3 linked regions of the Xenopus tropicalis genome follow. The protein of the gene in region 2 purifies or fractionates together with the protein of the main gene of each other region. This does not show direct contact. Links are inferred from orthologs where the notes say so. Each region holds a gene or a part of one and is shown on either strand. Other genes may lie near its edges.

The links.
Region 1: the proteins of cep76 (region 2) and cep97 purify together in Homo sapiens (co-immunoprecipitation; 4 studies listed by BioGRID and IntAct, with this or other methods). This does not show direct contact. The link is inferred for Xenopus tropicalis from reciprocal best matches to the Homo sapiens genes CEP76 and CEP97.
Region 3: the proteins of cep76 (region 2) and cep290 purify together in Homo sapiens (co-immunoprecipitation; 5 studies listed by BioGRID and IntAct, with this or other methods). This does not show direct contact. The link is inferred for Xenopus tropicalis from reciprocal best matches to the Homo sapiens genes CEP76 and CEP290.

The regions. Positions count from the first base shown.
Region 1 is NC_030678.2:101,955,262-101,958,124, forward strand, and holds part of cep97 (centrosomal protein of 97 kDa), read left to right. Parts: intron 1-129; coding exon 130-296; intron 297-680; coding exon 681-845; intron 846-1,126; coding exon 1,127-1,248; intron 1,249-1,455; coding exon 1,456-2,146; intron 2,147-2,548; coding exon 2,549-2,624; intron 2,625-2,863. UniProt on the Homo sapiens protein: Acts as a key negative regulator of ciliogenesis in collaboration with CCP110 by capping the mother centriole thereby preventing cilia formation. Required for recruitment of CCP110 to the centrosome.
Region 2 is NC_030682.2:103,543,224-103,546,588, reverse strand, and holds part of cep76 (centrosomal protein of 76 kDa), read right to left. Parts: intron 1,740-3,365; coding exon 1,406-1,739; intron 518-1,405; coding exon 300-517; intron 1-299. UniProt on the Homo sapiens protein: Centrosomal protein involved in regulation of centriole duplication. Required to limit centriole duplication to once per cell cycle by preventing centriole reduplication.
Region 3 is NC_030679.2:54,382,014-54,385,675, forward strand, and holds part of cep290 (centrosomal protein of 290 kDa), read right to left. Parts: intron 3,380-3,662; coding exon 3,236-3,379; intron 1,340-3,235; coding exon 1,286-1,339; intron 1-1,285. UniProt on the Homo sapiens protein: Involved in early and late steps in cilia formation. Its association with CCP110 is required for inhibition of primary cilia formation by CCP110.

The sequences.
Region 1 (2,863 bases), on a different chromosome or scaffold from region 2:
GTTATCTAGATAAAAATTACTTTATTCTACAGGATACAAAACATTATTTGTGTTCTATTTTGCATATTTTGTTATGCATTTAAATCATAGTACATTGTATATTCATATAAATGGTTTATTGTTTACCAGGTGGCATTCCTTGCTGGCCTTGCCGATTTGGAACAGTTATCAATCATGAACAATCCATGTGTGATGGCCACACCATCTATACCAGGGTTTGACTACAGACCTTTTATTGTCAGCTGGTGCTTGAATCTCAAAGTTTTAGATGGATATGTTGTCTCCCAAAAAGAAAGGTAAATAATACTGACTTTTTTCTGAATAAAGAGTGGGTTGCATAATATTTGCTTCAATTATACTTTATATGCTTTTTTTGTTCTTAGTTTTATGACGCAGGGCTGCATACACCACTGCATAAAAACAGATATTACAGGGACCTAAGCTAAAAAAATTAATTTGTATAAACTTACATAATAGTGGGATTGGCTTAACATCTCTTTTTGAAGGCCCATACTGTTAGCGATTCAGTCTGAATGGCATGTCTGACTGGTTTATTGGAATTGCTGCATGCCATAAGACTGAATGAGGACAAAGAGAAATTCATGTATAAAGTACTTTTACCATACTGAACTAATTAAAGCTTTTACTTTTATCATTAAAAATATTCTATATATTGCTAGCTTGAAAGCAGAATGGCTATACAGCCAAGGCAAAGGGAGATCGTATAGGCTTGGCCAGCACATTCCACTAGTCCAGTACCTGGCAACTGTGTGTCCTTTAACTTCAGCACATGGTCTTCAGACAGAAGAGGATGCAAAGTTGGAAAAAATTTTGAATAAACAGAGGTAAATGTTATGTACTGTGTACATATTAAATATAAACCTTGCAGGTAAATCTGCCGTATATAAATAATCCTGTATTTGCTGTAGTTACATAAATATACTACATGTTTGAAATTGTTTTGTTAATGTGCTCTATGGTTTGTAGTCAGTAATAATTTTTTTTAGATACTTTAAATTGTTATTTAGATTTTGATAATTCAGTTAGTTTTAAACTAATACACTGAGTTTTCTGGGTGACAAGATAATTGTAGATCAATTGCTAATGCTGTTCTTTTCTTGGCTAGATTGCACCAGAAGCAATTACTGCATCAAACACGCAGTGAAGGCTACCTCACCTCATCTACTCCCAATAAAAGGCTACCACTCTCACCTGAACAGCAAAGCCCAACACATGTATTACAGAATGGTAGGTAACTGTTTCAATTTGAATCCTAACTGTAATATGCCTTTTGTCAATAGTCCCCACATTTTTTCCCATGCGTATAAATCTTTTAGCAAGCTGTTTTCACAATGAGTATTGGATGAACAATCCCTTTTTAATGTATTAAAAAGGCATATGTATGGTTTTATAGAACAGAATAAAAAAACAGAACTTGTTTTTGTTTTCTTTTAGAACCCACAGTACAAGTAAATAATTGGCTATGGTCAAACAGTTCTGAGGATCACTCCTACGCTGTTAGAAATATCTGTTCCAGTTCCCCAGGGCCATCGCATTACAGTAGTCTTTATATGGAAGACATCCAGACAGATGAAGACAAACTCAACTGCAGTCTTCTTTCCTCAGAATCTACCTTTATGCCTGTTGCTCCAGGCCTTTCCCCTGTTTCACCAACAGAAGAGTTTAGGGTTCCAGCCATAAAATCTGACCTACTGCTCAATGAAACTGTGATAGAGTTTAACAAAGACAGCACTGAAATGCCCCCCACTGCAACTACAGAAATGTCAAAGCTAACTCAAGATCAGACAGCAATGCAAGATGATCAATCATGTGTCTATCCAGTTATCCAAGATGAGAATTTAGCAGAAAATATAATTCATTGCGAGACTTCCATTAGTGTTGAGAGTACGCAGATTTCAAATGGCCAAACATGTCACAGTATAATAATGAATAGTAAACAGTCTTCTGTTCTGGACCAAGATGCAAGCCACCTAAATAAAATAAACACAGCTGCTACAAAAATTCAATCCTGTTGGAGAGGTTTTTATGCAAGAAAGTATAACCCAAAAGTTAAAGATGTATGCTATGAAATCCGACTGAGCAGAATGCAGGAGCACATTGTATTCTTAACAGAAGAAGTCATTAGGTGAGTTTCTACTTGTTATTGGTTAATGTGTAAATACCATTTTTATTATTTACTACACTGACCTGCTTTGAACAAAAAAAAAAAAGAATTTTCTCAAAAAGCATAGCCCAAACAAATTTCTAGTAACAGCTATGTGCTCTATAGCAGTGACACAGTTAGCCAGAATGACTTCAGTTTTTGACATCCAGGATAGTAGTAGTTTTGATATCAATTACAACGGACCTCCTTGCCAGTTTTATTATTTGCAGTGGAAAGGGAAAACACTTGTAGCAACATGGTCTTCCAATGCAGTTACTGAAGAAAATTCTTTATTCTTTAGCATTGTTTTTTTAGTCAAAATTGTTTTTCCAATGACAGTAAATAAGTAGCTTATAAATCTGGTCCCTTGTGTCTGTGCTGTAGGCTAAAAAAAGAGAAAGAAGAGGAGCGAATACAAAGACTTGTGCAAGGGGAAGCCGTGAGGTACCTTTGGGAACAGGTATGTTTTGAATTACTTTTTTACTCTTTAACAATTTACGTACATTATATTGCAAAATATAATATTTTCCAGTGTGACTAGTGTAAGATCTCATCACACTGCATAATCACGCTCTGTGTGATAAGACAAAGCTTTCCAGTTAGGTAGTTTGGAGTAAAAAGATTTTTTTTTTTTTTTTATCTATTTTGAATTGTTTAAAATGTGTGCTTTCCAAAAAACATTGCTATTCTGAAGTAAGG
Region 2 (3,365 bases):
GCTAGCAATGTTTTAGGGGGTCCCTGCCCTGGCACCAATGCAAAACATAACCCCTGGCTACCAATGTTTTAGGGGGCCCCTGGCTACCAATGTGTGTGTCCTTTGTACTGATGGGAGGGGTCACTGGGGGGGGGGCAGGGAGTGGGAGCCCAGAAAAATTTTGTTGTAAGGGGCCCCATGATTTATGATGGCAGCCCTGCTTGAAAGGGATGAAAATACCAATTTTATAGGTAGGTGTATAGAATATGACTAGTAGAGCCGCAACAGATAAAAAAAAAAAAGGAAATATCACTGCTTACCGTAGGCATGTAGCGAAAGCTCGTCTTGCATTTCTGTGTACAAAGTGGATAGGGAATCCTTTGAATGTATGGCCATCTGGAACTGCTCTTCTTATGCAATCCTGAAATTCCTCATTGCCAGCCGATATTCCTGTTGTACGTTCAATCTCATATGAAGCTAATGCAGGAGACAGGAGGTAGGAAAGCTGGTCATCCCAAACAGTCGTAAGACCAAGATCCTGCATTTAGGGACAATTATACAGGAGTGAACATTTCTTACCTTGCACTGAACTGAATACATATATAGCAGCCAAGAAACTTAGCTCACAACACAATTTCAAAGTAAAGGCAAACATACACACAAGCCGTGAATGCTTTCAGTGAAGGTTAGGCATTCATGACTGTCTACTTGGCTTTTATGAGCTGTCTGATCTATTGATATGATTTTCATTATTCCCAACATAATTAATCCCGGCTTACAGTTTTTTTAATTGAACGATAACAGGTTTCTTTAGAAGCAAAATAAAGAAGCTATACAATAATGTAGAACAATAAAAGTGCATCTTTTTTTCTGCATTTTACAAATATACAGGTATTGGATCCCTTATCCGGAAACCCATTATCCAGAAAGTTCTGAATTACGGAAAGGCCATCTCCCATAGACTTCATTATAAGTAAATAATTATAATTTACCTTTTTCTCTGTAATAATAAAACAGTACCTTGTACTTGATCCCAACTAAGATATAATTATTCCTTACTGGAGGCAAAACAAGCCTATTGGGTTTATTAATTATTTAAATGATTTTTAGCAGACTTAAATTGTGGAGATCCAAATTACGGAAAGATCCCTTATCCGGAAAACCCCAGGTCCCGAGCATTCTGAAACAACAGGTCGCATACCTGTATCATCTTAAAGGAGAACTAAAGCCTAACTAAAGACGTAAGCTAGAAATGTTGTAAATTAGGTTTTGTGCTCCTGTACCAGCCCAGGCCAACCACAGTCCTTTAACAAAGCAATAAAGTTTTGTATATTTGGGTTCATCTTTATATTACAGTATACCCAACAAACTGGCCAGATGTATAATACAGCCTTACTCTGTGATACATAGTTGTGCAGAAACCAACCTTTCTGTGCTCCAACACAAGCACTCTGAGCTGCAGCTCAATTTCATTGCTTTCTGTGGCAGCATCAAGCAAAGAGCCGCAGAGTGGGGGAAATGGAGGAAGTGAAGCAATCGATCCTGGAGAGCAGACAGATTTAATAGCTTCCTCACTCATGGGTTTCCACCTGGATTCATCATGCAGGTCAAAAACACAGACTTCAACAGCATCTAAAGGCTGGCTATTGGCTAAAAAACGCTTGTGATTGAAGACGCATCCGATAGTTTTATATGGATAGAGTGGTTTAGGCTGTTCAACCATGGGAGGGTCATCTGGATTAATTGGCTTATGCACATATCTGTAAGATTAAAAATGCAAGCATAGTTAAGATCCTACAAAATAAAATACAATTACATAATATACAACATTTCTTAAGGCAGGTAGCACCAAGAGGCGCCAAGTGTAACTATGCTGTGCTTTTTGAAGCAAGTGCTGTTAACGAGATTTTTTGTGCAACTGGCTGTGGAGAAATTTTCAGGAACACAACAGTGATGCAGTAACTAAATGACCCCTATTATCGGACAGACCTTTTCTAACAACAGTGCCAGGATGCTTTAGGCTTATTTAGCCATGGGAACTGAAAGGACAGAAATACGTAGATGAGGCAAAGCAAACTAAAGTTAATCAAACATTTCCAATACAAAATAACAGCACTACAGGTATGGGATCCCTTATTCAAAAACACTTTATCCATTAAGTTCCGAATTACGGAAAGGCCATCTCCTATAGACTCAATTATAAGCAAATAATTCTAATTTTTAAAAATTATTTCCATTTTCTCTATAATTATAAAGCAGTACAGAGTACTTATTCCTAGCTAAGATATAATTAATCCTTCTTGGAGGCAAAACAAACCTAATGGGTTTATTCAATATTTAAATGATTTTTAGCAGACTTAAGTTATGGAGATCCAAATTACGGAAAGACCCCTTATCTGGAAAACCCCTGGTCCCGAGCATTCTGTATATCAGGTCCCATACCTGTACGGATATTATAACAGGATCCCTTTTACATACATTTTTTACCCGTCATTACAGTAGTACAGGCAAAGAAAAATTTCAAATACCCAACAAATGCATAATCTACAAATATCTCCGATACTTTTATTTTTGCTGAAATTCAAAATTTTTTGTTAATGTGCCATTGTTTTGTGTTATTTAAAAAAAAAAAAAAAGGAAATATGTTGTCTGCGTGAGCATTTTTCAGGAAGTACTGTACATGCTACCCTTGCACACAATTCAGAGGGATTTGGGGGTGTTCTTTTAGGCAAATTTATCGCAGGTCACTTGTATTACAGATTAGTCACAATAATGCAAGCTAGAACACTATCTATTCTTCAGCTTTAGCATACCTGAGTACATACCACATTTGAAAAATGTTAAGAGGGACAAAACGAAATGGCGCACAGTGTGGCAACATTTTTTTTGACAACACCCCCTAAATACCACTCCCATTTTACAAAATTTGTCAGGTTAAAGTTTCAACACATTTCAGGGGGTTTTGTTTTGCGTGTTATTAGTTTTGCTAATGAAGGTGAAATTGCGCTTTAAATGGCAAGTCTTAGTAATTATGTATCTAAGTGCAGCTTGTTAATTTTTCTGGGCTCTCTGTCAAAAGCTAGTTTTTTAATTAAGTTTGAGAAACATTGTATCTTTTTTTAGTATTCAGTGCAGAAAATCAAAGGGAAGCGAGGGACTTTTCAGTAAGAATCCAGGACTGCAGACTGAGCTGTTAAAATCAGGACTGTCCAGTGAAAATCAGGACAGTCGGGGAGGTATGCGAGTAAACAGCCCTAGAAGTTCCCTCCGTTTTTTTAAGATAGCAGCTGCCATTTTAGCTTGGTCTTCGCAGCTTCCCTGCTGAAGCTCTAGCTGCTGGTAACTCAGATCACACATTCTAATGGGAGGGGAGTGAAATCTTATGG
Region 3 (3,662 bases), on a different chromosome or scaffold from region 2:
GCCTTTATGGACATCATTTTCACCTAAAATTGTCATGTCTCACCTGATCTGATGATGGATATATCTCTTGATAACTGTGTTTACTAACTATATCCATTGACTGAGCAATACAGGTACAAGTATAGGATCCCTTATCTGGAAACCCATTATCCAGAAAGTTCCAAATTATGGAAAGGCCATCTCCCATAGACTCCATTATAAGCAAATAATTCTGATTATTTCCTTTTTCTCAGTAATAATTAAACAGTACCTTGTACTTGATCCCAACTAAGATATAATTAATCCGTATTGGAGGCAAAACAATCCTGTTGGGTTTATTCAATATTTAAATGATTTTTAGCAGACTTATGGTATGGAGATCCAAATTACGGAAAGAATTCTTATCCGGAAAGCCCCAGGTCGCGAGCATTCTGGATAACAGGTCCCATAACTGTATTTCAATATTATTTTTGTACCTCAACAGAATGTCTGACTCTGAGACTCAGACACGAAAACAGTGCATACTAACTGGCTGCCACTTTATCAACTACAATGCTCGACATTTACGTGGTAAAATATAAAATATAAGCTCATTTTGCAGTGTTTATGCCCTACGAGGGCTTATTTATTAAGGACAACCACAGCTGCGATCATCACCTGTGAATAAGGGGTGGGGCTGGGAGTAAGCCTTCTGTCCAGCAAGGAGAAGAAGAAACAGTACAGCTGGAAAGCGGAAAAAAAAAATTGCCAGGGAGACTGCAAGTGAAATATTTATTAAATTGGTCTGAGTTCAACTAACAGTGGTTGAGGCACTTTGGGGAAAAAAAAACCTTGCTATGAACACAGGATATTTTTTCTTTTTGGTAAATACTGATTTATTTTAAACATTTCGGTCACATTCCATTCTTGTTTGCAATCAATACATTTAACAGAATCCTGCCTTTTCTGCACCAGTGTTATGCTCTGTTATATGATTCCACGTTTGAACGTTATCAGTGTAATTTAACAGAAGGTGTAAAGTTTGTACTGGTCTCGTTGCTCATAGCTACCAATAAGCAAGTAGCATTTAGCTGTTGGAAAACAAACATTATTTGGAGAAAAATATAGATAAGAATCATACAGAAACCCATTATCCAAAAAACAATGAAATGAAGCAGTCATTTCCAAAAAATTTCTATTAAAAATGAACAATAATGAATTTGATTATTTTTTTCAAACCACTTAAGTACTATCTAAGCAAACAATAATATCCTGCTGGGTTTTCAACAAACAAGCACACACAAATTAAGAATTAATCAGCACCTACCTCTCTTCTTAACTTGCTGTTTTCATTATCAGTTTCTTCATTTCGGAGGGCAAGCTAAAAGAGTGAATAATGAAATAGCTGGATTTATAACTTTCATTTTAACTTTTTATTTTCATTGTTACGCAGACCCTACTTGCATCAAAATGCACTCTTTACAATTCCATATAGTTGTGCTTAGTGCTGCTCAGTCCTCCCTGCTTTCCATTCTGAATCAGGCACTGCTGCACCCAGTCACGCAGGGAGAACACTGGAGCTACTGCCACCTTCTGACCAGGCAGTAGCTCCAGGGTTCCCTTCATACCCTGCACCAATAGAAGGAGCACACTTGCTCCCAAAGAATTGGGCATGCGTTACTCACACCGTACATCGGAAATTATGCCAAGCGAACTTCCATGCAATTGCATTTTATCTCTGAGAAAATGCATGTGCAGTTGTGCTAATTTTGCCAGATCAAAAGCAACTGCACCAGGGCAATTCCCGCTTGCTGCTGCAATGACGCTTGCAGGAAAAAATCCACACATTACCTATTGTTAATAGTCATTCTCTGATAACATTTGACTTGCAAATATGGTTATATTCTGGCACAAAAATTGTTACATGCATCTCAGTAATAACAGCACTAAAGCATTATTGTTACACAAATATATTTTTTCCTCAAAAGCATTTTAGAAATTACACCACAGTAAAGTTGCAATTGGCTTACACATTAACCATGCTCTTTATGGTCTTTCAAATGCAAACGTAAGGGCATATTTATTGTAATGTGTAAGCCAACATCACCGGTGATATTGCCCATAGCAACCAATTAGCAATTACATTTAAGTTAGAAAACAAAAGCAAAGATCTGATTGCTTGCTATGGGTCACATCACCAGTGATGTTGGCTTACACACTAGAATAAATATGCCCCAAAATGTGATTTGCTCCTTCACTGCTGATCAGTTTCTTTTTTGTTTAAATGTACATTTTGTGCTCTTTTCCTTAGGGGAATTTCCAGGTGGTGATATTTAGAAAACGATGCCTTCAGAACAGATGATTAACCAACCGACTGGTTTATATCATATAAAGAGGCCTATTATAGAATCTTACCAAACTGGAATATACCTTGAACCACTATTTTGTGATGATCTTTGTGCTTCTTTAGAGTTCGCCTTATCAGAAATAATGGTGCTCTAACTGTAACTGTACAGGAAGAAGTGTAGGAGCAAAACACAGGACTTTGTTCATTAATTGGCTCATAAGAATGAACATGTATGTGTACCCATGGTTTATCTGTGTGCACCCTGAATAGTACGGACCATGAGGTTGGTCCTTAATACTTAAAATAGGATTAACCAATAGCACATACTACTAAATTAGTATATTTTTATTAAAATGGTTTATTTAGCTGAAGCAGAGGTTTACATATAAGCTGTTGTATGCAATATATTTTTATAGAGCCCTTCAATGTTAGGGTGTATAGAATGTCAAGTTCCACACCAGAAATCAAATTGGATTGGCATGCAACTGATGCAGTAATTGTGAGCGAGAAAGATTCATTCTAAAGGCTCTGGCAATAGAAAAATGGAATAAAATGTAACAGTTAGTAAAAATTAGTGGCACAATGAACACACTGTCAAAAGGGAAGTTTTCCTGGGTTCTGATCTTTTAAAGGAACAGTAACACTAAAAAATCACATCACAGGACATCACAGTAATAATAAAAGTACCAGACTGAGATAGTAGTAATGTGGGAACTACATCTCACTGTCAAATGGGATCTGCTTTGGTATGAAAACATTACAGTTAGACAGGAACAATACAAAACTTTTTGTCTCCAAGCTAAAAAAACATTTACAAAAATGTACTTTATTTTTGTTCACACGACCTAGTATCTTCCAATAACAACACTGTTTAGCTTCACAAAATATACCGACACAAATGAAAGGAAGGTGGTCATTGATATAACTTACTTGTTCATTAACTTGTTTCTCCCTTTCCAACTCATTTGCCATATCTTTGCATTCTCTCTCACTCTGACGCAACTGCTCCTCCAGCTGTCTAATTTCTTCACGCAAAAAACGTGAATCTCTGCTACCAGAGGATAGCTGTGCCACCTGTTTTAAAAACAAGAAAAAATACATTCTAATATTTGAACTTTGCCTTTCAAATTGAACAACTTTAAACTGAGGTTATCTATATCCTAAAAATCTGTAGAAGAGAAATGTATCCTATATAATGTAAACTAGCAAGGTTAAGCTTTTGAGGAGTTACAAGTTTGTAATGTCACTTTTTAGACTAATAAAATGTATTATTTACAAATATGCATAATCTTATATGCAGTGTGATTTTTTACTCTCTGTATATTTGCATTAATTGCCTTTGCATGTATTGGCTTTA